Linked DNA regions of Lepisosteus oculatus. The protein of the gene in region 3 interacts with the protein of the main gene of each other region in a pairwise test. Links are inferred from orthologs where the notes say so. Each region holds a gene or a part of one and is shown on either strand. Other genes may lie near its edges. The genes, in order: pelo, fblim1, lmo3 and G patch domain-containing protein 2-like.

Region 1 (7,612 bases), on a different chromosome or scaffold from region 3:
ATGTCCTCTGGCTCCTCTGGAATCAGTGTCACCTGACTGAGAGAGAGAGGGGTTAATACACACACTGACTGACACTCCAGTACATTAACACTGCACTGAGAGAGAGAGGGGTTCATACAGACACACTGACTGGACACTCCAGTACATTAACACTGCACTGAGAGAGAGAGGGGTTAATACACACACACTGACTGGACACTCCAGTACATTAACACTGCACTGAGAGAGAGAGGGGTTCATACACACACACTGACTGGACACTCCAGTACATTAACACTGCACTGAGAGAGAGAGGGGTTCATACAGACACACTGACTGGACACTCCAGTACATTAACACTGCACTGAGAGAGAGAGGGGTTCATACAGACACACTGACTGGACACTCCAGTACATTAACACTGCACTGAGAGAGAGAGGGGTTAATACAGACACACTGACTGGACACTCCAGTACATTAACACTGCACTGAGAGAGAGAGAGGGGGGTTAATACACACACACTGACTGGACACTCCAGTACATTAACACTGCACTGAGAGAGAGAGGGGGGTTAATACACACACACTGACTGGACACTCCAGTACATTAACACTGCACTGAGAGAGAGGGGTTAATACAGACACACTGACTGGACACTCCAGTACATTAACACTGCACTGAGAGAGAGGGGTTCATACACACACACTGACTGGACACTCCAGTACATTAACACTGCACTGAGAGAGAGAGGGGTTAATACAGACACACTGACTGGACACTCCAGTACATTAACACTGCACTGAGAGGGAGAGAGGGGTTAATACAGACACACTGACTGGACACTCCAGTACATTAACACTGCACCGAGAGAGAGGGGGGTTCATACAGACACACTGACTGGACACTCCAGTACATTAACACTGCACTGAGAGAGAGAGGGGTTAATACACACACACTGACTGGACACTCCAGTACATTAACACTGCACTGAGAGAGAGAGGGGTTAATACAGACACACTGACTGGACACTCCAGTACATTAACACTGCACTGAGAGAGAGAGGGGTTAATACACACACTGACTGGACACTCCAGTACATTAACACTGCACTGAGAGAGAGAGAGGGGTTAATACAGACACACTGACTGGACACTCCAGTACATTAACACTGCACTGAGAGAGAGAGGGGTTAATACACACACTGACTGGACACTCCAGTACATTAACACTGCACTGAGAGAGAGAGGGGTTAATACACACACTGACTGGACACTCCAGTACATTAACACTGCACTCCAGTACATTAACAGTGAGAGTAAATCACTCATGTTTTATGACACAACAGAGTTTAAATGAATGACTACGAGACAATTATACCGAAGACCAGACGTTTCTATCCCGATAGACTTACCCCGCATTGTCTTTCTCAATGTCTTTACTTAGAAGCTTCATCTTCAAACTGCTCTAAAATCCAACTAAATTTCTTTGAGTCTATTTATTTATTTCGCCAGCTTTCGGAAGAGGTGCAGTCCGTCATCACGGAAAGACGCGGGCGCAGCTCGGAGACGCAGCGCGTCGCAGCTTGATGACGACTTCCGGCAAGCGCTGCTGCTGGAGCTGATAGCGGTTTTCAGGTTCTTTTTAAAACAAATGATTATTAAACTTATAAAGAATTTACAAATACAACTACAACCAGAGGATCAGAAACAGGTACGAGAGAAAAAAAAACAAACAGAAAAAAACATTTAACTGCCAGAGGTCATGAAGTAATTTATGTGATCAAACTGTATTTTTTTACACATATGTTTTCCGTGCTTTATTATTTCTGACATTTTTAATAGAATTTAAATAGTGTTTCAGCTCCACCTCGAAAGTACTAAAAAGGGGATTATTACTAGACCATTCTATAAATACATGCTCTTTTTCCAAATTTTCTATTAAGCAGTACAATAAAATAGAAAAAAACTTAAATCTAAAAAACACCTTTAACTGCCTGCAAACACAACTCTGCAAGTCCGTCCAAAAGAACTTGACAAACCTCCACCTAACAAATAAATAACTGCTTCAAGGACCCCCCATTCAGCCCGACAAGACACACACAGGTCCCCCTGCACAGACACACACTCAGAGAGCGCCGTCAGCCCAAGACACACACAGGTCCCCCCGCACAGACACACACTCAGAGAGCGCCGTCAGCCCAAGACACACACAGGTCCCCCCGCACAGACACACACTCAGAGAGCGCCGTCAGCCCAAGACACACACAGGTCCCCCCGCACAGACACACACTCAGAGAGCGCCGTCAGCCCAAGACACACACAGGTCCCCCCGCACAGACACACACTCAGAGAGCGCCGTCAGCCCAAGACACACACAGGTCCCCCCGCACAGACACACACTCAGAGAGCGCCGTCAGCCCAAGACACACACAGGTCCCCCCGCACAGACACACACTCAGAGAGCGCCGTCAGCCCAAGACACACACAGGTCCCCCCGCACAGACACACACTCAGAGAGCGCCGTCAGCCCGAGACACACACAGGTCCCCCCGCACAGACACACACTCAGAGAGCGCCGTCAGCCCAAGACACACACAGGTCCCCCCGCACAGACACACACTCAGAGAGCGCCGTCAGCCCAAGACACACACAGGTCCCCCCGCACAGACACACACTCAGAGAGCGCCGTCAGCCCAAGACACACACAGGTCCCCCCGCACAGACACACACTCAGAGAGCGCCGTCAGCCCAAGACACACACAGGTCCCCCCGCACAGACACACACTCAGAGAGCGCCGTCAGCCCAAGACACACACAGGTCCCCCCGCACAGACACACACTCAGAGAGCGCCGTCAGCCCAAGACACACACAGGTCCCCCCGCACAGACACACACTCAGAGAGCGCCGTCAGCCCAAGACACACACAGGTCCCCCCGCACAGACACACACTCAGAGAGCGCCGTCAGCCCAAGACACACACAGGTCCCCCCGCACAGACACACACTCAGAGAGCGCCGTCAGCCCAAGACACACACAGGTCCCCCCGCACAGACACACACTCAGAGAGCGCCGTCAGCCCAAGACACACACAGGTCCCCCCGCACAGACACACACTCAGAGAGCGCCGTCAGCCCGAGACACACACAGGTCCCCCCGCACAGACACACACTCAGAGAGCGCCGTCAGCCCGAGACACACACAGGTCCCCCTGCACAGACACACACTCAGAGAGCGCCGTCAGCCCAAGACACACACAGGTCCCCCCGCACAGACACACACTCAGAGAGCGCCGTCAGCCCAAGACACACACAGGTCCCCCTGCACAGACACACACTCAGAGAGCGCTCATTTCACTGGATAGAACTGATATCTCTTTAACTTGACCTGTAGTACAATATCGACCAGGAGTTGTCCAAACTAACTTCGTTTGTATTTTCACACACTGCATTCCAGAAAGATGAACGAGGAGAGATTAGATGGGTTTTACAAAGATTCGTTCTCCACGTATAATTCCATTTCTTATCCTCCATGCCCACGCCCCCCGTGAACGGACCAGAAAGGAAGTCGGTCCTGATCGCGCTGGGATTTGCTTTGAACAAGCGCTCTGCGCCTTCCGGAATGGCACTAGAAACTACCGCGTGTTCCTCAGGGCGACAGCGAGCTGGAGTCTGTCCAGGAATTCAGGAGTAAACAACCACCGTCTTCATTCAACAGCTGAGCCACGACATACTGTACATTGTGTTGTTAAACGAGTCTGTAAAAAAAGCTTTATTTTTACCCTTAATGTCTTTATCTTTCCAAATATGATATGTGTGTGGTGAAAAACTGTTTGTATAACAAAGTCCATTATAATCATACCAGCTTGTGGAAATTAGATCACTTAATTGGGATTTTTTTTTTAATATCAAAGTTACATTTTAACAAAAAGTCAAGATCCCCAACATTCTGAAAAGTTATGTTTGGAATAAGATTCCAAATATTTCATTTGTTATTAATATATTTCCTAATCCACTTAGTTTTAAATGTTATATTTGACATAAAGTCTATAACATTCATGCCACCTTGATGTTTAGGTTTACTCAGAAGGTGTTTTCTAACAGAATGAGGTTTATTCTTCCCAATAAAGTTCTATAATACTCCGTCAGACTCCTCAATGAGATGTGAAGGAACAGTGAGGCTTTCAGTTCCACAGTCAGCTTATCGAGCCAGATATATGAGCTGGAAATCAATCCAAATGAAAGAATACTGAAATGGAGTATGAGTTTATAATTCCTACTGTAACACACACACACACACACACACACACAGGTCCCAGTGGAAAAGAGCTCCTCCAGGCTGGGACAGGAGATCACACACTGTATTAATATTATTGAGAGACAGGCTCACTGTCTGTTCCTCAGACTGGGACAGCAGATCACACACTGTATTATTATTATTGAGAGACGGGCTCACTGTCTGTTCCTCAGGCTGGGACAGGAGATCACACACTGTATTATTATTATTGAGAGACGGGCTCACTGTCTGCTCCTCAGGCTGGGACAGGAGATCACACACTGTATTATTATTATTGAGAGGCAGGCTCACTGTCTGTTCCTCAGGCTGGGACAGGAGATCACCTGTCCTCTCTGGACAGCCAGGTCGGCCTGTGTCCAGTGTGTGTGTCCAGGCTGTGGTCACTGAGCCTGTCCTCTCTGGACAGCTAGGTCTGCCTGTGTCCAGTTTCTATGGCCAGGCTGTGGTCACTGAGCCTGTCCTCTCTGGACAGCCAGGTCTGCCTGTGTCCAGTGTGTGTGTCCAGGCTGTGGTCACTGAGCCTGTCCTCTCTGGACAGCCAGGTCTGCCTGTGTCCAGTGTGTGTGTCCAGGCTGTGGTCACTGAGCCTGTCCTCTCTGGACAGCCAGGTCTGCCTGTGTCCAATGTGTGTTTCCAGGCTGTGGTCATTGAGTCTGTCCTCTCTGGACAGCCAGGTCTGCCTGTGTCGCCCAGTTTCTATCGCCAGGCTGTGGTCACTGAGCCTGTCCTCTCTGGACAGCCAGGTCTGCCTGTGTCCAGTGTGTGTGTCCAGGCTGTGGTCACTGAGCCTGTCCTCTCTGGACAGCCAGGTCTGCCTGTGTCCTGTGTGTGTGTCCAGGCTGTGGTCACTGAGCCTGTACTTCGTCAGGGTCTGTTTCTGTTTGTTGTTTCTTATTTTGGTCAAATATTCAGCTAGTGTGTATTGTCTGTTTAGGGTTCTGTAGCATTCCAGTTGATGTTGTGTTTGTGTGTGTGTGTCCCAGTGTGTGAGATATTGCTGTTTGATCTGTGCTGTGATGTGGTTGAGTCTGGGCTGTGGTGCTCTAGCAGTGCTGTCCTGAGGCTGGTTAGTGTTGGTGTGGCTCAGGTCGGTGAGCCTCAGGACCAGCTGGCTCAGGGGGCTCTGTTTTGGGCTCAGCTCTTCGCTCAGAAGGGCTTTGTGGTGGTAGGAATTTTGGTCGCTGTTTTTTAGGTGTAGCCAATACTTTAATATTCTTTTCTGTATGTTTATCAATAGTGGGTACTGGCCTAATTCGGCCCTGCACCCGTTGTTAGGAGTTTTTCTCTGCACACGGAGGATGTTTCTACAGATTTCCATGTGCAGAGTTTCTGTGGGGTGTTTGTCCCATTGAGTGTACTCCTGGTCTGTGAGGGACCCCACACTTCACTGCCGTATAGGGCAATGGGTTGGATTACACTTTGAAATATTTGGAGCCAGATTCTTGTTGGTGGGTTGATGTTGAAGAGCCTCCTTCTTATTGCGTAGAAAGCCCTGAGTGCCTTCTCCCTCAGTGCCTTCACTGCCAGGTCAAAACTCCCGGAAGAGCTGATGGTGAGACCGAGATATGTGTAGCTGGATGTGTGCTCCAATGTGTTGTTGTTCAGTGTGAATTTGTACCTGTTTCCCTGAGGTCTGGCTTTCTTCTGGCTTTCTTTCTTCAATGAGCAAGACTCCTGTCTGTTCAGTGTGCAGTACGACGAGCAGGACAGCTGTGTTCAGTGTGCAGTACGACGAGCAGGACGCCTGTGTTCAGTGTGCAGTACGACTAGCAGGACGCCTGTCTGTTCAGTATGCAGTACGACGAGTAGGACGCCTGTGTTCAGTGTGCAGTACGACGAGCAGGACGCCTGTGTTCAGTGTGCAGTACGACGAGCAGGACGCCTGTGTTCAGTGTGCAGTACGACGAGCAGGACCCCTGTGTTCAGTGTGCAGTACGACGAGCAGGACGCCTGTGTTCAGTGTGCAGTACGACGAGCAGGACGCCTGTGTTCAGTGTGAAGTACGACGCCTGTGTTCAGTGTGCAGTATGACGAGCAGGACGCCGGTCTGTTCAGTGTGAAGTACGACGCCTGTCTGTTCAGTGTGAAGTACGACGCCTGTCTGTTCAGTGTGCAGTACGACTAGCAGGACGCCTGTGTTCAGTGTGAAGTACGACGCCTGTGTTCAGTGTGAAGTACGACTAGCAGGACGCCTGTCTGTTCAGTGTGAAGTACGACGAGCAGGACGCCTGTCTGTTCAGTGTGAAGTACGACGCCTGTGTTCAGTGTGCAGTACGACGAGCAGGACGCCTGTGTTCAGTGTGCAGTACGACGAGCAGGACGCCTGTGTTCAGTGTGCAGTACGACGAGCAGGACGCCTGTGTTCAGTGTGCAGTATGACGAGCAGGACGCCTGTGTTCAGTGTGCAGTACGACGAGCAGGACCCCTGTGTTCAGTGTGCAGTATGACGAGCAGGACCCCTGTGTTCAGTGTGCAGTACGACGAGCAGGACGCCGGTCTGTTCAGTGTGAAGTACGACACCTGTCTGTTCAGTGTGAAGTACGACGCCTGTCTGTTCAGTGTGCAGTACGACTAGCAGGACGCCTGTGTTCAGTGTGAAGTACGACGCCTGTGTTCAGTGTGAAGTACGACTAGCAGGACGCCTGTCTGTTCAGTGTGCAGTACAACGAGCAGGACGCCTGTGTTCAGTGTGAAGTACGACTAGCAGGACGCCTGTCTGTTCAGTGTGAAGTACGACGAGCAGGACGCCTGTCTGTTCAGTGTGAAGTACGACGCCTGTGTTCAGTGTGAAGTACGACGAGCAGGATGCCTGTCTGTTCAGTGTGCAGTACGACGAGCAGGACGCCTGTGTTCAGTGTGCAGTACGACGAGCAGGACGCCGGTCTGTTCAGTGTGCAGTACGACGAGCAGGACGCCTGTGTTCAGTGTGCAGTATGACGAGCAGGACGCCGGTCTGTTCAGTGTGAAGTACGACACCTGTCTGTTCAGTGTGAAGTACGACGCCTGTGTTCAGTGTGAAGTACGACTAGCAGGACGCCTGTCTGTTCAGTGTGCAGTACGACGAGCAGGACGCCTGTGTTCAGTGTGCAGTACGACGAGCAGGACGCCGGTCTGTTCAGTGTGAAGTACGACGCCTGTCTGTTCAGTGTGAAGTACGACGCCTGTCTGTTCAGTGTGCAGTACGACTAGCAGGACGCCTGTGTTCAGTGTGAAGTACGACGCCTGTGTTCAGTGTGAAGTACGACTAGCAGGACTCCTGTCTGTTCAGTGTGCAGTACAACGAGCAGGACGCCTGTGTTCAGTGTGAAGTACGACTAGCAGGACGCCTGTCTGTTCAGT
Region 2 (7,888 bases), on a different chromosome or scaffold from region 3:
GGGAGAGATTATTGTCAAGGCACACTTCTGCAGCGTCATCAGCACATGCTTTTCTGAATAATAATAATAATATATACACTTCTATAGCGCTTTTCTGGACACTCCACTCAAAGCACTTTACAGGTAATGGGGATCCCCTCAACCACCCCCAGTGTGCAGCCTCACCTGGATGATGCGACAGCAGCCATAGTGCGCCAGAACGCTCCCCACACACCAGCTCTCAGTGAGGAGAGCAGAGATCTCACTGGAGTGTTATAAAATGTTAAGGGTACGAGCTAAACTGTAACAGACGCTTGAACTCGGCAGACGGGGTCACTGGAGGTCAAAGTCGCCGTGCGTGGTCACGTGATCACCGGGATAACAAGGCGCTGTATCTCGGGGACGGAAGCAGCACAAACGCTACTTTCAACGACATCAACCGGCACGACCGCAGCACTGACGAATAAGGTGGGTTTCATCGTTTGTGCTGTCTGCAGGGGGGGCAGCCTCACGGGCCTATCTCAGAGATGTGGAGTCGACTGATTAAAATCAGAGCAGATTCGGACAGCGGCTGTACACACTATCACCCACAAGGCGGCGCTGTTGATCCTGTTTCGGTATAAACTTTTTATCAGGCGACGCTAAAGATACAATTTATTCTTGTGATACTGTTTTTATACCGTTTGCTGTGGGAATTGCATTCATTGTATTTCACAAGCAGTGATTTTTTTGGTTTCACTATACGTCGTCCGTGCGTTCGCCGGCGGCTCCATCGATCTGATTGATTAGTTTCTCGCCCGAAACGAGGCTCTCTGTCGCTCGCGGGCGGGCGGTGACCTTTGAAACCCCGGCGCGCACGCCGGCTGCCATTTCTCTCCGCCCGGCGCCGTGTGTCGCGGCAGGAATGCTGTCCGTCCTGCGGTCCTGGCTGCCCGCTCTCCCCGGCGTGTCGTGGCTGTCGCCCGGCACCGCCACGCTAGACTCGCTGCTGCAGGGTAAGAGCCCGCCCCCCCGGGGTCCGGCCGCCGCTCACTTCCGCCTGGCCCGCGACCCACCGGCGTGTCTGTTTCCCGACAGGGCTGGTGGGCGCGTGCGGGATCTCGGTGCTGTGTAACCTGCTGCGCGTGCACGCGTTCATCAAAGGCTTCAGGTGAGTCGCCTGTCCAGAGCTGGACGCGCCTGCAGTGACCCCTGGAAGGGTCATCGCGTCTGAAGGGCCACATCGTCATCGGCTTGACCAGAGTGTGAGACTGTCCAGGGTGTGGTGCTCCAGTGTACTGAGAGCTGGACCGGAGAATCAGCAGTACTGTAAACACTGAGAGTTATTCAAGTAGCACTGCAGTGACACTGCTGTGTGCGGGGTGACAGTGTGTCTGTAGTTCACTGCAGTAGCTCTTCTCTGTGTGCAGGGTGACAGTGTGTCTGTAGTTCACTGCAGTGACACTGCTGTGTGCGGGGTGACAGTGTGTCTGTAGTTCACTGCAGTAGCTCTGCTCTGTGTGCGGGGTGACAGTGTGTCTGTAGTTCACTGCAGTGACACTGCTGTGTGCGGGGTGACAGTGTGTCTGTAGTTCACTGCAGTAGCTCTGCTCTGTGTGCGGGGTGACAGTGTGTCTGTAGTTCACTGCAGTAGCTCTCTGCTCTGTGTGCGGGGTGACAGTGTGTCTGTAGTTCACTGCAGTGACTCTGCTCTGTGTGCAGGGTGACTGTGTGTCTAGTTCACTGCAGTAACTCTGCTCTGTGTGCGGGGTGACAGTGTGTCTGTAGTTCACTGCAGTAGCTCTGCTCTGTGTGCAGGGTGACAGTGTGTCTGTAGTTCACTGCAGTAGCTCTCTGCTCTGTGTGCAGGGTGACAGTGTGTCTGTAGTTCACTGCAGTTGCTCTCTGCTCTGTGTGCAGGGTGACAGTGTGTCTGTAGTTCACTGCAGTAGCTCTCTGCTCTGTGTGCAGGGTGACAGTGTGTCAGTAGTTCACTGCAGTAACTCTGCTCTGTGTGCAGAGTGACAGTGTGTCTAGTTCACTGCAGTGACTCTGCTCTGTGTGCAGAGTGACAGTGTGTCTGTAGTTCACTGCAGTGACTCTGCTCTTTGTGCAGGGTGACAGTGTGTCTGTAGTTCACTGCAGTAACTCTGCTCTGTGTGCAGAGTGACAGTGTGTCTGTAGTTCACTGCAGTAGCTCTCTGCTCTGTGTGCAGAGTGACAGTGTGTCTGTAGTTCACTGCAGTGACTCTGCTCTGTGTGCAGGGTGACAGTGTGTCTGTAGTTCACTGCAGTAGCTCTCTGCTCTGTGTGCAGGGTGACAGTGTGTCTGTAGTTCACTGCAGTAGCTCTCTGCTCTGTGTGCAGGGTGACAGTGTGTCTGTAGTTCACTGCAGTAGCTCTCTGCTCTGTGTGCAGGGTGACAGTGTCTGTAGTTCACTGCAGTAGCTCTCTGCTCTGTGTGCAGGGTGACAGTGTGTCTGTAGTTCACTGCAGTAGCTCTCTGCTCTGTGTGCAGGGTGACAGTGTGTCTGCAGGATCACTCAGTCCTGCAGTAACCTGCTGCTGTTGCCAGAGCCCTGCAGCTGGTAAAACCTGGACTGGATCAGACTGCTCTTCACTGGGAGTCTCTGTGCTTTTGCAGTGACCCGGGCCGGGCCAGTGGAGACCGGGTGCAGTTGCACAGGAGAGGCGGGTTTATGGAGGCGGTCCAGCTGTGGGTTTTGACGGCGGTGCTGGGAGTGGTGGGTTCCAGGGTCGCTGCGCTGGTGGTGCTGGAGTTCTCACTGCGGGCCGTTTCTGCAAGACTGATGGCAGTGCCGGTGAGCCACACACACTGAACACTGGTCCTCTGAGACTGACACTGAACACTGGTCCGCTGAGACTGACCGGTGAGACTGACACTGAACGCTGACACTGAACTCTGGCCTGCTGAACACAGGCACTCTGAACACTGACGAGCTAAACAGTGACACCAAACACTGGCACAATGCTTGACGCTCTGCTGTATGCAAAGCAGCTGATTGAATTCAGTCTAATAAAGAGCAGAACTGTAAGACTCATTGCAGTGCCACCTCTCTGCCTGCAGGAGGCCCTCCACAGCAGCCAGCTACTGGTGCAGTGCCAGTTCTCCCTGGGCTGTGCGCTGACCTGCAGCCTCAGCTTCCTCCAGGAGGGGGCGCCGCAGAGCACCCTGAGCCTGGCGCTGAGCGCAGGGCTGGCAGGGCTGCTGTGCTGGCACACGAGGTCGCTGTGGGGGCACGTGGGCACGATGTACAAGCTGCACAGCTCCCAGCGGTACTGCGGGGTGTGCGTCGCGCTTCTGACCTGGTCCCACGCCATCCCGGGCCTGCTGCGCCGCGCCCTCGCCCTGGCCTTCCTGGTGGCGGCCGTTGCCGCCTTGTCCCTGATCAACCGCGACTTCCTGTCCGCGGCCGACGCCCTGAGGTTCTGGACTCCCCTGACGATCTGCTACACCTTGCTGGTCATCTACATGCAAGGTGAGGGGGGGGGCGGCCGGGGGGGGGGTGTGCGCTTCTGGGTCTTTTACTGACCGTCTCTCCCCTCCCCCTCAGAGGAGCAGCAGCACCGCCCTGGTGGCCAGGCTGTGTTCCAGACCGTGGTGGTGCGACTCGGGGGGCTGCTGGTCCTGATGCTGACGGTCGGTCGCTGGGGCGACGTGCTGCACATCCTGGTGTGCTTCCTGGGGGAGGGGTGCTGCCTGCTGCGGGCCTGGGACCTGCTGACAGCCCACCAGACACAGGTCCGCCCCCCCGCACCCCTGTTCCCTGAGCTCCCCCTCCCCGGCCTCCCGGCTCACACTCCCCCCGGGCAGGACCGCAGGCTCCGGCCTGGCGCGGCGCAAGGGCGCATCGTCACCAGCGGTATGGCGGCGGGAGGTTCACCCCCTGTTTCTGTCTGCAGGAGGCTGAGCTCGGCCCCACCAGGGGCTCCCCAGGGCCCAGGAAGGAGGGCGTCTGCTTGAGAGGCTGTCCTGAGGTCGCCCAGGCCAGCAGAAAAGATAAGGACCTGTAGCGGCCCTGAGGAGACTGCCTGAGCTGAGCCCTGCTGGCTCCCAGTCTACCAACATTGAGCACACCCGCTGGGACCAAGAGACTTGAGCCTTTAGGCGGAGACTTTTCTATCTTGTTTAATTCATGTACTTAAACTTTATACACCTTCACGCCAGCAGAAAGCACTGTTGCAGCAGGGAGAGAAGGGAGAGGAGAGGGAGGGAAAAAGATAGAGAAAGTCATACATTGAGATAACTGGAGATGGAGTAAAGGAACGAAGACTGCCCCCTGCTGGCTGAACGGCATACAGGCAGTGTGCTGGTTTTTTACAGTGCAGTAGCAAGAGCTGCCACCAGAGGTCCAGATCGACATTTTCTCTGGACCTTGAGACCGCTGCTCACAAGCCAGCACATCCAGTATTTTACACTTCAGATCAATCCTCCTCAAATTATTTCAGTTTAAATTGTGTACATATTATTTGGACAATGATCAGGGTGCTGTTGCTTTTGTTGGTGTGTCAGTCTGGCATCTGTCTGTAAGTCGGTCAGAGTCAGATTGGCTCTCTCTTCGTCTCCCTCTCTTCCTCGGTGTCTGTCTGTGTGCGTCTTACTGTCCCCTAACTCCCCACTGACTGTCTGTTCTCACAGTGTTCCCACTGTTCCAGGACTGTTTTCACCCTGCATGGAGTTTGGTGTAATAAATAATATGAGAATGAAAGTTAGAGGGAAGCTGCCCACAGATACAGAAATACAAATGTGAGCGTGTGTGTGCGTGTGTGTGCGTGCGTGTGTGTGCGTGTGTGTATGTGTGTGTATGTGTGTATGTGTGTTTGCACAGACTCTTTTGCAAGAGCTCTGCCCTCTGAGCCCTTATCACCCCTGCCCTGTTCTTTGCTGATTGTATCTGTAGGGAGTCACTTCTGTTGTTTTTCAAAGGTGGAGATAAATTCCTTTGTTGCATGTGGCAGTTAAAATGAATAATTACTGCTGCTGTCTCTAAAGACACTGTCCCTGCCTCTAGAGACACCATCACTGCTGCTGTCTCTAGAGACACTGTCCCTGCCTCTAGAGACACTGTCACTGCTGCTGTCTCTAGAGACATTGTCCCTGCCTCTAGCGAATATTTGGTTTGGAAGTAGTGGGGCTGATGGGGATGGTGCTCAGGTCCTGCACTCTCACACGGTTGTTCTGAGAGAGGTGTGAGCACTCTCACTGACCAGGCGCTCGTCAGACCCTGCGGACTCGCAGGCCTGGCTCATGCTGATGGACCACAGTGTGATATACTGACAGCTTGCAGCCTGGGACAGAGGGGGTGTCACTGTGACCCCAGGAGCAGGAGGTCTGCGAAGTTTGCCGAATCTGCGCAGCTCTGCTGAGTTGGTGCAGTTTGTCTGCGCAGCCCGGCAAAGATGTAAACGCACCAGTGGGACCTGAAGTGAGTCCAGTGCGAGGAGAGAGCTCACCAGCCCAGCGATTCACCTGGTTTCAGACAGGAGCCCAGAGCTGTCTGCTGCCCTCCTAGAGCCTTGCTGTTTACACACTTTCCCAGCTGTGTGTGTGCGAGAGAGTGTGTGAGTTTCACTCAGTGTCCAGAAAGGACTCGGAAAGTCTCAGTGTTCCCCTCTGCTCTGGGCCGGGTCAGGCGCTGTCCTGCTGGGGCGGCTGGTTCAGTGGAGCAGTTGGAGGTCCGAACAAAACTCTGAAAGTCCCAAATGTAGAAGTGAAACTAGAGGTTTCTCTGTGCCGGAGAGAAGCTGCCTGGGAGTGTGGCTCCAGCTCAGCCGGGTGGGAGTTCCAGGCAGCGGAAGTCTGGGGGGGGGGCATGGGGCCCCCAGGGCATGACTGACAGCAGGACAGCGGGGTGGGCGGGGCTGACCTCTCGACCCTGTGGGCAGGAGGAGGGGCTGGCAGGGGTCTGGGTGATGTCATCACGGACAAGCCCCAGCAGCCCTGAACATTCCTCAGAGCCTGACTCCTGCCTCCACACCCCTCCCCCTCTCCCGCTCTGTCCCAGGCGTCTCCCTGCTCCTGCTCCTGTTTTCCCGGCTCCACACTCCCCTCCCTCTTTCTTTATGAACACCTCTTCTCAGTCCCTGTGCCAGAGTCATCGTGTGCTGTTAATCCGTGACGTTTAGGCCTTGTGCACGCTGCACACACTCCCAGCCTCGTCTGCGTGTCACAGATTCGCCGAACAGCTGGGTGTACGCGCTGCACACACTGAACACCAGATGTGGATATACTGCATAAACACACTGAACACCAGGTCTCCATATACTTAATACATTTGCAGACTAAGCACCAGGTGTGTTTATGAACTGTACACTGAACGCCAGGTGTTCACAGGCTGTGTACCATATAGACACTCTGAACACCTGGTACGCTGTTGATTGGCGTATACCTGCTGCACCCTGGGGTGTCCTGTTCAGGTCTGGGGCCAGCAGCAGCTCCAGCTGGGAGGCAGGGAGAGGAGAGTCTGGGAGAAGGGGGGCGGGGGCTGTCCGTGGGCAGGTATCTACTCACATCCTGCTCCCCCGCAGGAGGAGGAGACAGAAAGAGAAAGAGAAAGAGGGAGGGAAGCAGTGGGGGTGAGGCTGTGCGTCAGTTTCGTGGAGCTCAGGCTCTGACTCAAGAACTGTTCACCTTTTCCGGCCGGAGCCGGAGCCGCAGAGGGGGAGGGAGGGCTGGAGGAAAGGGAGTGGCCTGACGGAGCTGCTCTCCAGGTCCTGGGACAGAGACCCGCCGTGCCGACACCCTGCCAGGACCGGGAGCACAGACACTGCGCGGGACCCCAGTCTGCCCAGCACAGACGCACAGCGAGAGCCAGGCTCATCTGCAGGCTCCCCCTGACGGCCCTGATAGCCTGGAGCTTCACTGCACAGTGCAGCCAAGACACTTCTCTGTCATCTGGAGCAAACTGAGGGGCTCATTACTGTAGACCCCTGGGGTACAGGTTAGTGCTGGATTCCCTGTCTTGCAGGGAGAACTGCTGTCTCTGTATCCCTTTGTCTCTGTGTCTCTGTATCCCAGTGTTTCTGTGTCCCCGTATCCCTGTATCCCCATAGCCCTGTGTCTCTGTATCCCTTTGTCTCTGTGTCTCTGTATCCCAGTGTTTCTGTGTCTCCGTATCCCTGTATCCGCATATCCCTGTGTCTCTGTGTCTCTGTATCCCTTTGCCTCTGTGTCTCCGTATCCCTGTATCCCCATATCCCTGTGTCTCTGGGTCTCTATCCCCATATCCCTGTGTCTCTGTATCCCTTTGTCTCTGTGTCTGTTATCTGTGTGTCTGGGTTACTGGTCTCTGTGTCTGAATAAATAAAGTATTCTATCATTGTTTCTGAACTCTGGCTATGCTATGATTACTAGACTCCCTTGTCTCCCATGAATGAAGCTACTCAGGAAACATGCTGTGTCGGCAGCACCTCTCCACCTTCTCAATAACCGATCACACCTGAAGAAGGCTCTACAGCCGAAACATTGTGTTTCCTTTCTTTTCTTTTCAGCAGGGAATAAAACCCGTTACCCGTTCCTTTGTAGCCTGTGCATGCTGACGGATCTCCCTACTTGATCTATGTGTAAATAATGTTGATCAGCTATCAATAATGCTGTGGTCAGTAGTTTCCTGTTCAGATAGGGCTACAAACTTGTTGCTCCCAACACAAGAAAGTACAAGGAGGGCTAGTTAGTGTGGGACAATTTTAATCTTTTTTGCAAAATGACTTCAATGATTCATGAACTGTTCACAGAACTACAGTGCTGCTCAGACCTCTCCTCCCAGTGTGGATCTGTGTCTATGGTAAGTGTGTTCCAGGGGTGAGCTGGCATCTGGCTTGGTGCCTGGCCAGTGTCTGCCAGCTGCAGTCAGCAGCCCAAGGTCACAGCAGCTGTGATACATCTGTCAGTCACAATCTGTACACATCT
Region 3 (7,576 bases):
GAAATTACATGCACAAAGCTAAAAATCAGTGTCTTCTTCACTGATCTTTCACGTGAAAACCTTCAAAAGTCCTTAAGAATTAACAGAACACTGCACATAACTGATTCATTAACTGAGTCATCCCTCCATCATGGTAAAGATATATTCATCGTTTTTTTTTTTCTATAAATTAGCTTTATTCAGCGTTCTACTTAAGGTATTTTATGACCATTTAAAATGATTTCTACAATTCCGATTTTAATTGCCAAATGTCAAAGCCCTTACCCCAGCTTTGCATGAAAAACAACTGCCTAACAAAGTAAAAAGATATGTCGCGAATAACACAGGTCCCTCTGTGGACTTTATAGTTCTATGTAGATTTAGAGTTTGCATGCGTCCAAGTTTTACAAGTAGGAGGTTATTTGTTAACTTCATACCTAAACCAAAGCGACACGATGGCTTCCCGGTTTTCGCAGTTCCTCTCTCGCTACTTCAGGCACCTGGGCTTCCTTCCAGACTAGGCCCCTTCTGTATGGAGTCTGTATGTTCCGCCCGTGTTTTTTTGAGTGTTTCGAGAAGGGGAAATTAAGATAGTCCTTCAAACGTTTTACAGGTAATGGAGATATTGGTATGTGAATTTAATGGATGGCATTTACGTAAAAAGGCTTTAATTTTCCTCCCAAACTATTTTTTTAATGATTTTGTACAGTATATACAGAATGCAGGACTGAACATAGAGGTCGCTTATAGGAAAACTGCAGCGTGATTAAAAAAATAAAAATATTTAATGACATACAAACATGCAATGCTAATGTTAGGAGCTAATGCGTATCTTTATTGCCCTCTACGGTTACAATCCCATTTTTTTTTATAAATGGAATAAAGAGGGGAAAAAGTAGAAAAGTTTTTCTATTTAACTTACTCATAATAACTCAATGCTCCAAAGGAGAAGGCCATGTGGTAGGGGAAACTATCGGCGTCAGTTCCTTGTAAAGATGCTGCCTCTGAAAACTGCATCCCTAGAAAGGCGGTTTGCTCCGTATTACTTGCTATTGTTTGACCAGTTTGCGCAGCAGTATGTCTTCTTCCCCACTATTGCTTCCTTTCTAAGCGTTCTGTCTTGTTTTCGGATTATCTGTAAGCACACGGTAATGTCTCCACGACGTGAGAAATTGCTGCTTCACTGCGGTGCTAGCAGAGAACTGTACATCGCTGGCTTAGTGTATTTGATACGTGTTGGCACGTGTGTGGCTGTGTGTGCGCGCTCTGGTTCCTCGGTCTTGCAGCAATAACTGAATGACCTTTTCTTGCTGTGTTATGTCTCGCTGGTGAGGGATTGGACTCGTAGGTGATAAAGCTAGGGTTCTCTGTGCTCCATCCCTCAGTCACTGATGGGTAAGTTGTTCTGAGCCCCTCAGTATACTACACGGGAGCTCAGCGGCGGATGTAAAGAGAACACCTGTAGCTCTGTTGCCTAACACTGCAATTAACTGCTTGCGGATCCATGCGGACCTCATTATTTTAAACTTAAAGATCTCAGATACGTCTCGGGCAATGCTTGCTTTATGAACTTTAGCTCTGAAGGGAGAAAGGTTGAAACTGCGCTACTGTGCCTGTTTTTAACTGAGTCCTTTTGCATTACTTGGCGAAGAAGGTGAGTAAAGTGCAGCTGCACAAAATGGATTGACGTGTACCGTAGTTCAGTACAAGTATGTTAGAACATTTTGAGACCCTCTTTTTTAAATATAGGGTGCCTGTGGAAGTTATGCATGCTTAATACAGAAATGATATTTAACTTAATTCATTGGGTTAAGGTGGAAAAAAGGCACCCATTCACTTTTTTAACAAAAACACTTTAAACGCGTGCCTTCACCAATGATGTTGTGTTAGCGCTGTGCATTTTAAAACCTTATTTGTGGATTTAGTGAAGTTTTGTGTATAAATAGATTATTTTCTTTATAGAAAGGAACACTTGTTGGATTTGCAACCACGCATTTACTGTACCAGGGTTTGCGTTACTCATTTGAAGTGCCTTTTCTAAGCAGAAACATACTGTAAATGCCGTGATGTAGATGAAAACATCACGATTGTAGATGGAAACTAGAATATGCTGAAACTTTGCTCTATGTGTAGAATAATTCAAGAATAAGGTAAGAGGTAAAGAACAGTAAGGAGCTGTTAACTAACAATCGAAAGTTTTTAAACAGTTTAAACATTGGTTTCAAACCCTCTCGGAAAACGCTTTGAATACGAACATTTTAGATATGACTCATGCCACTTAAAATCATGTTTTAAAAATAATAGCTTGTTTTATAATGTATAAAATGTCCCCATATCCCACCGTTACTGTCAGCAGCATCATTTAACGAGGACAATTGTTGATGATGTTCTTTATGCAATTCGTTACGGCTTTTATCTCCGTGTTTTAATTTACACGATGTTTACAATCCGCGTTACCCACTGTGGATAGGGTATACTGAAGTGGATATGAATGAGAGACAGTTCACGTACACACTGATATTTAGGATATGTTCCAAGTAAATACCCGGATAAAGGGAAAGAGATTTGCAGGATGAAAAGACGTTTTGTTTAAGGTATAATTGTTTTAGGCTTTAAAACTGCGCTAAACAAAAACATATATCGCATATCTCAGTTCTACGCAGTGCACTTGTCTGTGTCCAGTTGGGTTAACGGCGCTAAAGATACTTTCGCCGGTGTGCATCAGGCGTTAACTTTCCACCTGCAACAGACAAGGAAACGTCGGTTTAAAACTACAATGTGTTTTGTTGATATTATGTGCTAAGGCTGTTGATTGAAGCCATTCCGTGGTATTTGATTAAATTCATTATACAAGGCACTGAAACTGGCTAACATTCGCAAGTAAAGCATGAGGGGATTATAAGATTACGGCGCCGTTAAAGGGGTAAGCATGTGCTTTTGTCATCCGCTGTCATTTGCTCACTACCACTCGTATAGCAGCGGCTGCAAGACTTCCTTTTCATAATCGAGTATTGATGTGACAAACGTTGGCTACGTTTAGCAGGCGATAGTGGATAGCAGGTCTTTCCTTATTTTCCTGTTTATTTTATTTTTTGTCTGGAGCGAGGGTCTCACTTTGAACAATAGCAAGCCACCCTCAGCGTGCAAGCATACAGCTGCTCAGTTCATCCAAAGAAACGAAGCGTTTTTTTTGTCTCTCGAGTTGCATGGTGGTTGGGGTGCTGAAGTCAAATGCAGAAAAGGGAGAAAAGTTTCGGTAAGGATTTTTCGCTGTGCTGTGACTTATTCTTTTTCTTTAGCTTTCTGAGTGTTCACCTTGTCTTGTTTTATTTTAGGAACGTGTGTTGTGTAGGAATCGATGGTGTGAGCAGACCCGTGATCTGAAGTATTCCATAGCTTTGGGATGAGGGGTGTTTTTTCCGTTTATCTTCAATATTGTTCTCGGAGGCTTTAATTGCTTTCAAGAACGTTGGCTGGTGCCAATTATTCTGGCAGGTTTAATGGATAGCTTCAAAATGTTCCCGCTGAATGCTGTAGATAAAGAGGACGTTTAGCACCAAAGACTAAGCACATTAACTCAGAAAGTGATTTTTTTGGTCTTGTTTTGTTGTGCATGCAAGCTGCATCGAAAATTGGGTTCGCTGTTGCAAATCTCTTATTGGCCTTTGCCAAGCACTAGCACTTTGCTACCATGGCAACTGTAATTAAACTGATAAGAGTGGAAAAATGTCAGTATCGCCGAGTCTTGCAGCTGCAAAGGGGAGAAAAGGAGAATCAAATCGGGTCTCAGCTCCATGGCATGCAGTCGTCACGTAGTTTATATATATATTCCGTAAAATGGTATGAGCTCAATTTATAAGGGTTCGGACATCTATTTGTATGAGGTACCCTGAGGGAGTTTGAGTAACATCGGAAAACAGGCAAGGGAGTTCACAGAGAACCTGCGGGGTTGCTCTGGGCGAACGCACAGGGAAAGAAAAAAAATCTTTTAGGCCCAATCCAGCTTTATTTTCCTAAATCTTTTGTTCACTGTTGCTTGGCAATTGGAAAATCGAAGTGGCGAAATTCCTTTCATCTGGATCACTAGACTCCTGGCAGCCTGTTTTCTTAATTTAATAATGAACGAAATTTAGAAAAAGAAAGCTTCTGATTTTTAAGGCAGTGGTTCAGCGCATTATACAAGCTGTCCCAACGCGTCTAAATCTGATTGCAGGCTGAGAAGAGTTGAAACTCTTACTACTTTTCGTTTGTTAATGAGTTGCGGTTACTTTGTTGTGTTAACCAGTGAAGCTGAGACTGCGCGGATGAGTGCCACAGAACAAGGATGCATAATGGAAGCAATCAACCGTACGTGTTTCTTACAATACAATCCAGCCAATTAAAAGCTCACCAGTTTAAATGAAATGAAATAAAATGGGTGTCTGCTCATTACTGCAAACAGAATGACCCTTCAAGCTATTTTATGTATGCCCTAGCTGCTTTTTTCTATTAAATAAAGGGTCTATATAAGATTTCTATCAAATACTGAATTACGGCCACGTTAAAAAAAATGCATTGTTCCAAGGCTGTTAAAACGAGTTTTCAGGACTTTGAAATAACCTCTCGGAAAGGTTGTACTGTCTTTAAACATGATTCTGGACTGTTCTATTTTTTTCCACAAAGATTGCAGCTTCTGTAAAAATGTTTTTCTGCTAAGCAGGATATTAATACAAATATTCCTTTTTTAACATTCAGTTTATCATTTATTAATGCAGCCCAAGACTGTTAACGCACACATACAACTTTCCATGCGTTAGTACTGTATATTGCTGTTAAAAAGTCAAAATCTTTGTGACCGTTGATATTTATGTCTTGTGTTGAGCGTAAAGCGAATAATGGATTCCAGCATAGGTCAATGAAGTTCGCTGTTTAGGTCGGTTACATATTTTCCGTTAGTGGTTACTTGGGAAATAAATGTGTGGTACAGTATATGCTGTATGATTTTCCATACAGTCCTTGTAATGTCCATAGTAAGAAAGTATTAAGCGACCCGTACACATGCCGTTTGAAAAGCGTTGCAGACAACGTTGGCTAGTGTGTTTTAATAATGTGTTAATCGAAGAGATAAAAATAAAACACAATCCACAATATTCAAATGAGAACTCTCCACAGTGAAGCATAAGCCCCTTGTGCCTGGTAAGATACATGTTTCAGTTTTTTATGCAGTGCTTATCCTTCACCGGCCTGAACAGTTAACTGTTCCCTGTCATATATTCCCTTTTCCTCATATATACCACTTGCTCTTAAAATAATTAACAAACAAGAGGAAACTGACTAATTCTGTAGTTTTCCCCCCTTTTATGTTATGAGTGATTCATTATTTTACAGAACTGAGATATTTAAAACAAATCCACATGCAGTAATAGCCTGTTATCCCATTACAGACAGTAGAACCAGAGTTTTCACTGTGGTCATGTTAGTTGACTATTTAAAGATTAAACGTAGCCTTTTTCTGTCTTTGACCATATGCTGTTTTCAAGGCATAGCTGATACTGTAATTCTGTCTCAAACTGCATGTAAGAAGACCCATCAATTTAAGAATGCAATCCTTCCCTTTTCGGTTTTCATAATACTAACTCAATAATTTATAATAAGTTATAGTTCTTGATGATGTAAAAACAAATATAATACAGACACCACATGTGTTCCACATGAAGTCCAACAGTCAGGAAATTAATCAAATAAGCAAGCAAAGAAGCAATCTGTAATTTAAAGGGCACAATGGGAGGTAATCGAGTATAAAATGAATAATGGATTCAGTTATAGGTCAGTAAAGGCCTGTATTGCTGGTGTTGTGTACATTTGCAGTTAAGCCTATGGTTTAGCAGTTTCTGTCAATATCGCACTTTACTCAATCACATTCATTTTCATGTTAAAGAAACAGAGTTGTGTTTGTGCAACACCAAATTAGTATCACACTACATAATTGTGTTGTTGTGGCAGCAATACTGTAAAATAAACAATAACTAAATGTTACATTCTGCTAATTGTGTATGATACACAAATGCTGCTCTGTGATATTACAATTAAATTTTAGTAGTACTGATGTACTGTACAGTGTATAAATCTCTTATTTGCTATTTTGGGACGGATCTTTCAGTGTTTGGATGTATTCAGTTCCAAATGTCCAATAACTTTCAGAATGATTAAGTTAGACACAGTATTATGAAACTTTATTGGTTCTTAACACATGTTCATGGTGGTGGAACTAAAAATGTTTTCATGCAGTTATTCCCTTTTTTTCTTTAGTTTATAAACCAGATCTGGAGACATGCTGTTTTAAGTGTACACGATTCTTCAAACAGGATGCACTGGATTCTGAATTCTTGCACCTCTCCTTAAATATTGGGCACTCATGATTAATTTGGGATTTGGGATTGGGTCACTTTTAAACTACTAAATATCAGTTTGGTGCGTAGTGCACGTTTACAACAGTATTGCTATTTTTTGTTATTTGATTTTAATCTTAACACACTGTAGAACACAAACCTGAATCTAATGTAATCCTTTTACAGTTTTTCTTAGTTTTGTTTTCTTGTTACTTAACTATAATGTTATATTAAGGTTCTTGATTGCCATTTCATACACAGTCCTCTAAAATGTAGCTGTTGTGCAGACTAGTTAATAGCCCCATACCTCCTGGAGTTGAAAATGGCCACAATGGAATGTAAGAACTTTGCAGGGCATTTGCAGAATTGTGAATACTGTTGCAAATGAGCACATTACCAGCTAAAACTGAATTTGCTGTGCTTTGATCTTTAACAGTTTTCAGTATATCTTTCGAGATGTTTTCTGCTTTATCACTGTCGTAATTTCATAATCAGGGTTACCATATATGAAAAACAATCTAGGATAATAAGTCCAAAGAGCTACAGAGAAAAATAACGTTTTCGAAGTCACCTATTTTTAATGTATCTGGAGGTTTTTTTTTTCTCTGTCAAATTCTAAGTAAACAAGTTTTTACTTCAGTCAGTGTCCCCAATCGTTTTGCAATCAAACAGTGCAGGTTCCTATATACAGAATGAGTGCCTGCAGAGTTGGAATTGTTTATGTTAGGAAGTCCTGCAAAAATTCATTTAACATTACTGAGCTACGGCTCACTAAAATGTATCTTCAGATTCAAAAGAAGACAAAACACAAATGATGGTGTGTAGGAGTTGTATACTCCCTAAGCATGGCTGGAGCATACTAATTACTCTGTCCAGGAGTCCACATTGTTACCTCAATATAGCTCTTTCATATCACTCTTGGGTTAGTGGATACACATGATGGTGACTGCGGAATCTTTTCAGCCTTCTCCCAGTGGAAGGTAAAATTGAGGATTTTTAGTTGCGAAAGACAGCTTTGATTGTAATAATCAATGATGTAGGAAAAAGAAGACTAGATATCACTAGTATAAAGGTAAGAAAATCAATAGTGATGTTGATTTTGTTTTTGCATTTTTATGCAGTTAATGAAGATAAAAGTTACGGAATAGGATTTAGAATCTATCTTCACAGCAGATATGTGTAATTGTTTTAAACTTCAGATGCATAGAATAGTGAGTTCTACACTTTTT
Region 4 (8,367 bases), on a different chromosome or scaffold from region 3:
TTTTTCCATAAAATAAGAAAACAAGCGCCATTGAGAGGCCAGAGAGGTCAGCACAAATTAAACTAGAAGATGTACAGCTTTCTGTCTCCATACTGTTGGTTACTCCAGACGTTTCTTTTTTTTTTATTAAAAAAAAAGCCCGTCAGTTAACGAGACCCTCAAAGAAAACGCCCCAAGAAGCTGTAAGGCAGAGAGAACAGAAGACATTTCTTTGGAGAACATTGCTTGGTTATTACAGAGGTAAATGACACCCCTTTCATTTCCTTGGTGTCTGAAGATGCACAATGTTGTCCCACACTCCCAAGGAGCCCCCCCATTAAATGCTAAAATGTTTTCTCAGAACTGCTCATGATTTTGTAACTTACTACATTATTACAAAAGATGGAGTCAATTAAGTAGCTCACTTATTTCTCTTTAGAACCACAACAAACTACACCTACATTATTTTCCTCAGACACCCAGGCTGAATGGGAGGATATCTTTGTGGGTTTTCTGGTGGTTATTTTGCTCTGGAAAGCTCCCCAGAGGGAAAACCCTACTAGTTCTAGGCAGATGCACGTCAGTGCACACCACTGGCATCTGAACATTTCACAAAAGAAACGAGGAAGCTAGATGTAAAAAAAAAAGTGCTGGGTGCAAGGACAAGTGTATTTCTACACCACGTCTACATGGAACATATGGGAACTACCCTGCACTGGCTAGGAAGTATGTCAGGAACAGATGGGCAGCTAAAGCATTCAGGGAATAGAGCGGAAATTGTTAATTATCTAGGATGTACGAAAATTGAGTTTGAATTCAGACTTGTCAATATAACTTATTTTATGGAACATTTTGACACATATATTATACACATTAAATGAAAAAATATCCATTATATGAACTTACAAGAAAAGTCATTAGGTTTAACTGGAACCTAAACAAACTGCTCCAAAGTTATACTCTACTATATCATATTCTCCGAAACAGAAAACCTGTGTGAAACAATATATAATTCTTTTGATTGTTCCACTATTCTAACATTGGTACCGCTATGTATCATGATTAGCCCTGTTTTAAATTGTGCATATTATATATTAAAGGAAAACCTGAGAAATTATCTCTCAACATGGTTTCAAAAAGCTCCCTATGTTATTGCCTGCCCAACTGTCATAATCTGTGTTCCTTTTATATCATACTGTGCAAGAAATCAATTCCTTGTGAATGCACAATGCAGTTCATTTCCAGAGTGTACAGTTACAAATTAATTGACAGAGGAATGAATGTATTTCATATACTGATGATGCATGGCATGTCACTGTTGGGCCACATATTTGAGGCAGGCATGCACCACTACGCTGTCTGTTGATTAAGTGTGACAGACTGAAGAGAGAAAAACGCAAGTATCAGAATCTGCTTTGGGGCTCCAGAGTATGTACGTAGTCAGAAAAAGATAACAGCTTGTTGATAGTTTGTAGAGAAAAATCAGATTTATGACCTAGTCCTTATTCAACTACTGGTCTCGTTACCCTACACTCAACTACGTTTTAGGTGTGAGATTCGTTTTCACCGACATTATGGCTGGGCTGAACCACAGAGGGTCCTGAAGGGAACATTACCATTCGGACATGTTTTCATCAGAGGCTTCCTTCTGCTCCTCAGACTCAAACATCATCTTCTCCTTCCAGCCTTCCTGGTGGACGAGCCCACTGCTGCCCACCGGCTCGGAGCCCCCAGCCCAGGGGCAGGCACTCTTCTTCACCTTCGAGAGGCGCTGCTTTTTGGCCAGCTTGTGGCTGCCCGCCCTCTCGCTGTCCAGCTCGGACACCTTGAGCTTCTCCTGGAGGCTGACCGTCACGTCCGAGGTCATGCGCTTGACCTTGCGCCGCCTCCTCAGGGGTCGCCCTGGCGTGTTCTCGGTGAAGGAGTCCGACTCGGGCCAGGAGTGCTGCTTGCTCTTCAGGGAGGAGGAGAAGGAGGGCCGCCTCTTGGCCACGATCATGTCGTCGGAGTCGCTGAAGTTGGCGGCGTTGGCGTTGGCGCTGGCGCTCTCGCGGCAGTCCTTGGCGGCCTCGTCCAGGCTGGACTCGGAGGCCTCGCTGAAGCAGCGCGCGTGCTCCAGGGAGTGGGAGGAGTCGCAGCGCCGCTTCCGGCCACGCCGCCGGCGGATCTGCCGCCTCTGCTGCAGGGGGCTCAGCACCATCTCCTCCCACAGCTCCTCCAGCTTGGTCTGCTCCGAGGTCTGCTCCAGCGCAGACGCCAGGTCGTGCACCAGCTCGTCCATCACAGCGCGGCCACCCCCTCTGGCAACGGAAACAACACAGCGCGGATCACGAAAAGACGGAAAGAGGAGAGCGGGGGTCTCTAGTATCAAGAGTGACTTACATCACACATGCTGCAGTCTAATCTAGGTTTGCTCTGAAACTGCATCACCAAAGAAACGCCAAGAGACCACCTTAATTAAATTCAATCAGGCAGGTAGCAATAGGTTACGCTGGGTAATTATGCAAAATGGGAAACTAGGAGAGTTTCTGTAATATTTCTACAGAGAGAGTGAATTGATATTATATCTGTGCTCTGGACACCTGGGTACTATGCATTTACAGCCTGTACATCTTAAAATCCAATTCTACAATCTATCCACTTTTCATGTATGCTTAGAAACGCCTTGTGTTCGCTTCTAAACAGCACAACGCAATTCACAGCAATCATTTGGTGTAATATGCTGTAAGGTGAAAGGAAAGATCCGTATGCTTCTTTGTGAATTTGGGCCCAAACCCAAATCAAATCACTTGTGTGCAAAACTGTTTGCAATGACTTATACCGCTCCATACTGTACTGAGTCAATACTGATTAAGTGAGTCATTTAACACCCTTCTGAATGCAGCTTGCAAGCGTTTAATTTCACTTGTTGGATTCCTCGCAGTCAGGGCAGTGTTCACTGCAAAGCGCAAAACCTGCAGTTTTAACAGTGCTGCTGGCTCCGACTTCACTGACGTCATCGCGCATCCTCGAAAATACCTTCAGTGTTTACAAGAGTCAAACCGAGGACAATGCGGAGTCCGCTGCCAATTTCGACAAATATGTCAGATGGTCGGTGGCAAAACGCGGAGGTTCTTCATGTACAAGCACACGTGCCTTTCATGCACTCAATTCTGCTCCATTTTTACGTCGCAAAGGGTAGCAAAATTTGAGTATTAAAGAATTGAGCATTCTGATAAAACAGGCACGCTTGGAAAACGGGGCTTCAACGTTGCAGGTCTGTCTAAGTAAAAGCACAACATATTGAGATTCGTCTCCTCCGTTTTATTAATTGTTCTTTTTGGTCATATCAGGTTTTTTTTGTTCAGGTTTCTGGTTGCCTATTTAACATGCCTATTAGTCCAGACCTTAGCAGGCATGTATACTACCTTTCGTTACAAACATAGTGTCAGAGCTTCGACAGGATAAGTCGCATATTACAAACCACTTATTAACGCTTAAAGCTATATGTGCCGTTTCGGAAATCAGCATTAAATCTTTCTTCCTCGGTATGGTACTGTTGTTATACAAAACTCACCAGCCGCAGTTCCTGCCTGTTTTGTTTTCGCAGCTAAATACCTCGAACGTACTTCCGCCCCGCAGGAGAAGCTAGCTACGTATTTCCGCCCCGAATAAGGCAGGCAGTTTCGCCCTGCAGAAATCCGATATCTAACCAACTTTTCTTCAAACGCAGCGTGATGAAAGAGCACTGAAATCGGATCATGTTTTATGTATTTTAAAAAATACGCTTAGATTGATGACTGACTGCATTTACACATAATAACCTAAAGCAAAAAAAGTCTTGTCTTTTCGTGTCTCGTCACGAAACTTAAAACTACAGCAGAGCGAGGTCTAGGTAAAAACTTGAGGTTTACCTGAACATTTTAGTAAGCTCTCATTAAGCAAAATCGGTTATCACCGCTCTTCGCCGGAGCTCATTCATATATAGAATTAATCAACGCATATTTATGGTGGTTAGGTTATGTATTGTTCTAATCTTAAACACCGATTTCTAACGCTGTATTTAATGATAAAGCTATTACATTCATTAAAGATTTCATTTCGGATTTGGGAATTAAAAAGCACAAAGTTATCCATTGTGCATTGTAGAGCCAATATTTATTTTCATTTCCTTTGAAATATACAGCTATTGGGTAAGTAGGAAGAATATGATTAGAAAGTGAACATTATTATTAAAAATTTACGGTTCCTCTTATACGGACCTCATTAACAGAAGTGACAGTTCCTGGACCAAAACAATGTTGGTGATTCTGAAAAATACGCAGTCCTTCTCAGCTTTCCACACCAAGCGATATCATCCTGATTGGCTCAAATTCGGACTAGGTACAAAAAAGAATAACCCATTTTTTCCTGACTGTTAATAATACTTCAGACTCAGAGTTGCTCCGGGATTCCTCTTCCAGACCTACAGGAGATGCCGACATAGTAATGCAGTGAGACATGTCGCGCTCTTTTATTTGCTGAATTATGTTGGCATTTTGATACAGTTTATTTTCCGCTGCGGGAACAGAACAGAAACAGTGACAAAAATGTATATTTAAAAAAAACAATTTAACACTCAGGCACGGACGATACGGTTACTGCTCCTGACTGGCAATCAAGTGAGTATCAAATGAATAAAAACATGTGACCATGTCGTTGCCAATGCTGACATTACTTCGAAGACGCCTGCAATCGGTGGTCTGGGATTGTCCCCTAGCATTTATCAGCCCGCTAGTTAATACCGTTGGGTCTTTCTAAAGAGGCAATTTCTCTTCTTGTCTCTGGAACAATCTAAGTTCACAGGCTGCTGCTCACCTGTTGTCTGTTGAAACAATGTCCTAGTTCTAAAATCCTAAACTTCGAAACAACTCGCCATCGTGAAGTCCACACCCGCAAACACAAATTGAACTATGTGAGTGTACGCATAGCAGTCAGCGCGCCACCAATATACAGAATTTATATTGAAACATATAAATGAAACTTTGCCATGAACCAGCTTCTAGCAGAATTGAGAAAAAGTCATTTATAACTCCTTTCATCTTAGAGATGAAGCCGCACAATAAAAGGCCAGCGAAATGAGCACAAAGGCTTTTAATCTCTCTCATCTTCCTCTTAATAACTGCAAATTTCCCCCTTGGCCCCTGGGAAAGGGGCTCTCTCTGCTGCCACCACCTTATCTTTTCCCTCCATATTTCACGGCGCTCTGTGGCTCCCTCAGAATGCTGCCCCTGGCCTACTCCTGCCAAGGCCTGTGGGAGCGGGCTGCTCCCAGGCCCTCATTGTTCAAGGCATGGGAGGGAGTCCAGAGAGGGAATTGAAAGCAGCAGAGAGAAAAAAGGCAGCACTGCTTCATTAAGCGCTGGCCTTTCAGAAGCAAACATATCAGAAACAGCCCTTTTCAGAGGCAATAATTAGCAATTTGGAGCCTTTTCCCCCCAGGATATACAGTTTCAATTTGCTGGCAGGATAGCTTTAGATTCCAAAGCACTTAATATTCATTGTTTCTCCCATCTCCCCCAGTTCTTGATTTGCATTGTCCGGTCTTTCACTGACGATAAAGTGTTTTATCTTTCGTGTAATTCTTCCTTTCAATGAGTCCTCAGCAAGAGAAGTTAATTTTTATAAATACTTTTCCGAGGGATTTGTTAAGGATGCACAGGACACGATAGCAAAGTGCTCTTCAAGTAGTTCTTAAGTTGGAAGTCTAATATCAAAGACGTCACGTGGGCTCTCGTTTCCTGCATTTGCAATAAGTTTCTGGAACCAGTGAGAATGGGATTTTGAAGTCAGGCATGTAAATCCTTAATCAGGAGCCCCATAGTAACCAGAACGTTCAAATATAAAGTCTGGTCCTGAAGGATATTGAAGTTAAGAGGTTCAAGTTTGCAAAATCAAGAGATACTTTCTATTCCTGCAAAAAGAATAAGAATGGAGAATTTAGTATGAAATGCAGCATGATTTTGACAATAACAGGGAAATGTAAAAAATGCTCTGTAAGGTTATTTCCAGTGCACATGTAACTGAGGAGGATGTTTCCAGTATATACAGTACTGTGTGTTGTAAAATGCTGTAAAGGGGAAATAACACTGCAAGATCTGATATGAAAGGGTAGAACACCTGTAAAAATAACTAAAGCCAGCAGCATGTCACATTAATAGGACATTAAGCAAAATGAGAAATTGCAATGGAAGCAATGTTACTAGTCATTGGATCTAAACCACCCTCTATGACAGTGCCAGGCAATTAGTTCATGTTCCTAATTATGAAGAAAGATTAATTAGAAAATCTCTAGGAATTAGAAAATTGGAGTCCACGTTTTTAAATTTTGATGGAGGTTATTTTCCGTCAGACATCTGGGCCTTAGTAATTGAGAAGTGTAAATAATCCCTTCAAAGGGGAACAATGCATCAACATCTGTCTAATCCTCCGTTAATGACAGTTATCAAGACTTCTCTTGCAAAATTTTCACCTCCAGCTACATTAATTAGCATAATGCAAGCCAGCTAGGATGCAGACATGTTGGTGTGTCAGAGGCCAATACGATCCTTCAGTGATAAAAGCCACTTGTATAATTCTGATTCCTCCTCCTTTAATGAGTACACTTCTGATGTGAAAGAAGAGCTGTCCAACTTTCGGCACTTTAGAGATAACTACTGTAGGATCTCTTTGGCCAAAGCTTTGCATTAAAATCAAGAGGATTTCCTCCTGGCTTTTACTTACAATTGGAAAGGGCAATGACATTCTCCGTAATGTAAGTAAATCCGAGTCTTACAGACACGAGAAGCGTCGTTCAAGTGTAACTGGGTGATTTCTGTGAAAGCAAGTCACGCTATTGCTTGGCAGGGCAGAACAAACAGATTTTCATAAATGAAAAGACAAACATACAGATGAAAAAAAAGTGTTTACCAGTTAGATTTCATCAATGCAATATCTGTTTGAGTTGTCCTAATTTTATAAAAGCATTCCTGCTTACCAGAAAGCAAACTGCTTAAAGGCATAAAGTAGGAATTAAAGAAGAAAGGAATATCTTAAGGAAAGTTAAAAATGGCAATATCACCCAAACCACACGTTGGCTCTTATCTTACAAAATAGAAAATAACAAACCTCCTTTATCTTAACCAACCAACCTGCCATTGTATCAGAATACAGTACCTGCAGTTCATTTGCAATCCAACGTTTTGTCTTACAACGCAAATAATTGATTTTCAATTCTTGCAGGCTCATGAAAAAAAAAATGCCATTACACATTATGCTTTGAGAACCAAAATATAAAGATTTTCATCGAAAAGGAAAAATAAGAGTCTCATTAAAAATAACATTAACATTAAGACGAAGAAGAGAAAATAATTAATGAAGTCCAAGAGCTATCTTTCCTAGGCAGAGAGTCACAGGGGATGCAAACTCACAGACACCAGAAATGAGCTACCTATCTGCAGAACGAGAATGACTTTCCATCCTATTTGATTTGGCTCTGCTATCATCTTTTAAGAAGATGTCAGTTCTGCTCCTTCTATTGCTCCCTGCCTTTATCAACCCTCTGACACACAAAAAAGGCACATTTCAATGCCAGTGCATTGCTAAAGAATAAGTGTTCTGTGATAAAGAAAAGGTTGTTAAATAGATCTGTCTATTTGTATGGTAATAATGATCGCTAAAGACTTGGTTACAGAATCCAACAGAAACCTGCGATTGTGCATTGTTTAACGTGACTCCTTGAATGACCTTGCATAACTTTTATACAGTAATAAATGTGCCAGGCTTGTTGCTGGTTTAATAAGCTAGTCTTTTTTTTTTCCATCTGGTGATTTTCAGTTGCATCTTGAAAGCTCGTCTGTAGCAATAGGGGGAAATCTGACAACCCTGGCACAAGTACTGCAAGATATCTGAAGTTCTTAAGATATACAGCAATCCCACTTCATGGAATAAAGAAGTTATAATAATAGCTGTAAATAATAATAATAATGTTTTCTAACTCACACTTTTACCAAAATAGATTTACAGAGTCCAGGGGGTGAGATATCTATCAACAGCTATTGCTGCAGAGACATTCAATGCGAGTTCTAGGTTTTACATCCTGTCTAAAGGATGGAGCTGAAATAGGTTAAATAAGTTGCTCAAGACTTATTTAACACAAAGTGAGTCAGTAGTTCAGCACAAACCTACTAGTAATACACCTTTTACGTTAACCACTGTTCCACTCAGCCTGCTTATCACGACACTGTACGCTTGGATATAATTTCAGAATAAAATTTAAAAAATAAGAATTTCATAGAACTATTAACCGTAAACTGAGCTTCTCTATAATGCTAATAAAGGATCTATAGATACACAGTAGTGTTCATACTAACCTTAAAGCTTTTTCTCACC

The links.
Region 1: the proteins of lmo3 (region 3) and pelo interact in binary tests that used the Homo sapiens proteins (3 or more experiments, as listed by UniProt). The link is inferred for Lepisosteus oculatus from reciprocal best matches to the Homo sapiens genes LMO3 and PELO.
Region 2: the proteins of lmo3 (region 3) and fblim1 interact in binary tests that used the Homo sapiens proteins (3 or more experiments, as listed by UniProt). The two-hybrid records come from large-scale screens. The link is inferred for Lepisosteus oculatus from reciprocal best matches to the Homo sapiens genes LMO3 and FBLIM1.
Region 4: the proteins of lmo3 (region 3) and G patch domain-containing protein 2-like interact in binary tests that used the Homo sapiens proteins (3 or more experiments, as listed by UniProt). The link is inferred for Lepisosteus oculatus from reciprocal best matches to the Homo sapiens genes LMO3 and GPATCH2L.

Annotation. Positions count from the first base shown.
Region 1 is NC_090699.1:1,371,935-1,379,546, reverse strand, and holds the start of pelo (protein pelota homolog), read right to left. Parts: upstream 3,549-7,612; 5' UTR 3,365-3,548; intron 1,618-3,364; 5' UTR 1,433-1,617; coding exon 1,392-1,432; intron 37-1,391; coding exon 1-36. UniProt on the Homo sapiens protein: Component of the Pelota-HBS1L complex, a complex that recognizes stalled ribosomes and triggers the No-Go Decay (NGD) pathway.
Region 2 is NC_090720.1:298,286-306,173, reverse strand, and holds the start of fblim1 (filamin-binding LIM protein 1), read left to right. Parts: upstream 1-4,789; 5' UTR 4,790-6,920; intron 6,921-7,888. Other genes in the region: tmem82 (transmembrane protein 82), read left to right, coding at 884-974, 1,057-1,129, 2,603-2,780, 3,047-3,458, 3,534-3,721, 3,883-3,993. UniProt on the Homo sapiens protein: Serves as an anchoring site for cell-ECM adhesion proteins and filamin-containing actin filaments. Is implicated in cell shape modulation (spreading) and motility.
Region 3 is NC_090702.1:24,869,398-24,876,973, reverse strand, and holds the start of lmo3 (LIM domain only protein 3), read left to right. Parts: upstream 1-4,223; 5' UTR 4,224-4,232; coding exon 4,233-4,326; intron 4,327-7,305; exon of another isoform or gene 7,306-7,327; intron 7,328-7,356; exon of another isoform or gene 7,357-7,419; intron 7,420-7,576.
Region 4 is NC_090703.1:8,763,951-8,772,317, reverse strand, and holds the start of G patch domain-containing protein 2-like, read right to left. Parts: upstream 3,594-8,367; 5' UTR 3,536-3,593; intron 2,280-3,535; 5' UTR 2,261-2,279; coding exon 1,596-2,260; intron 1-1,595.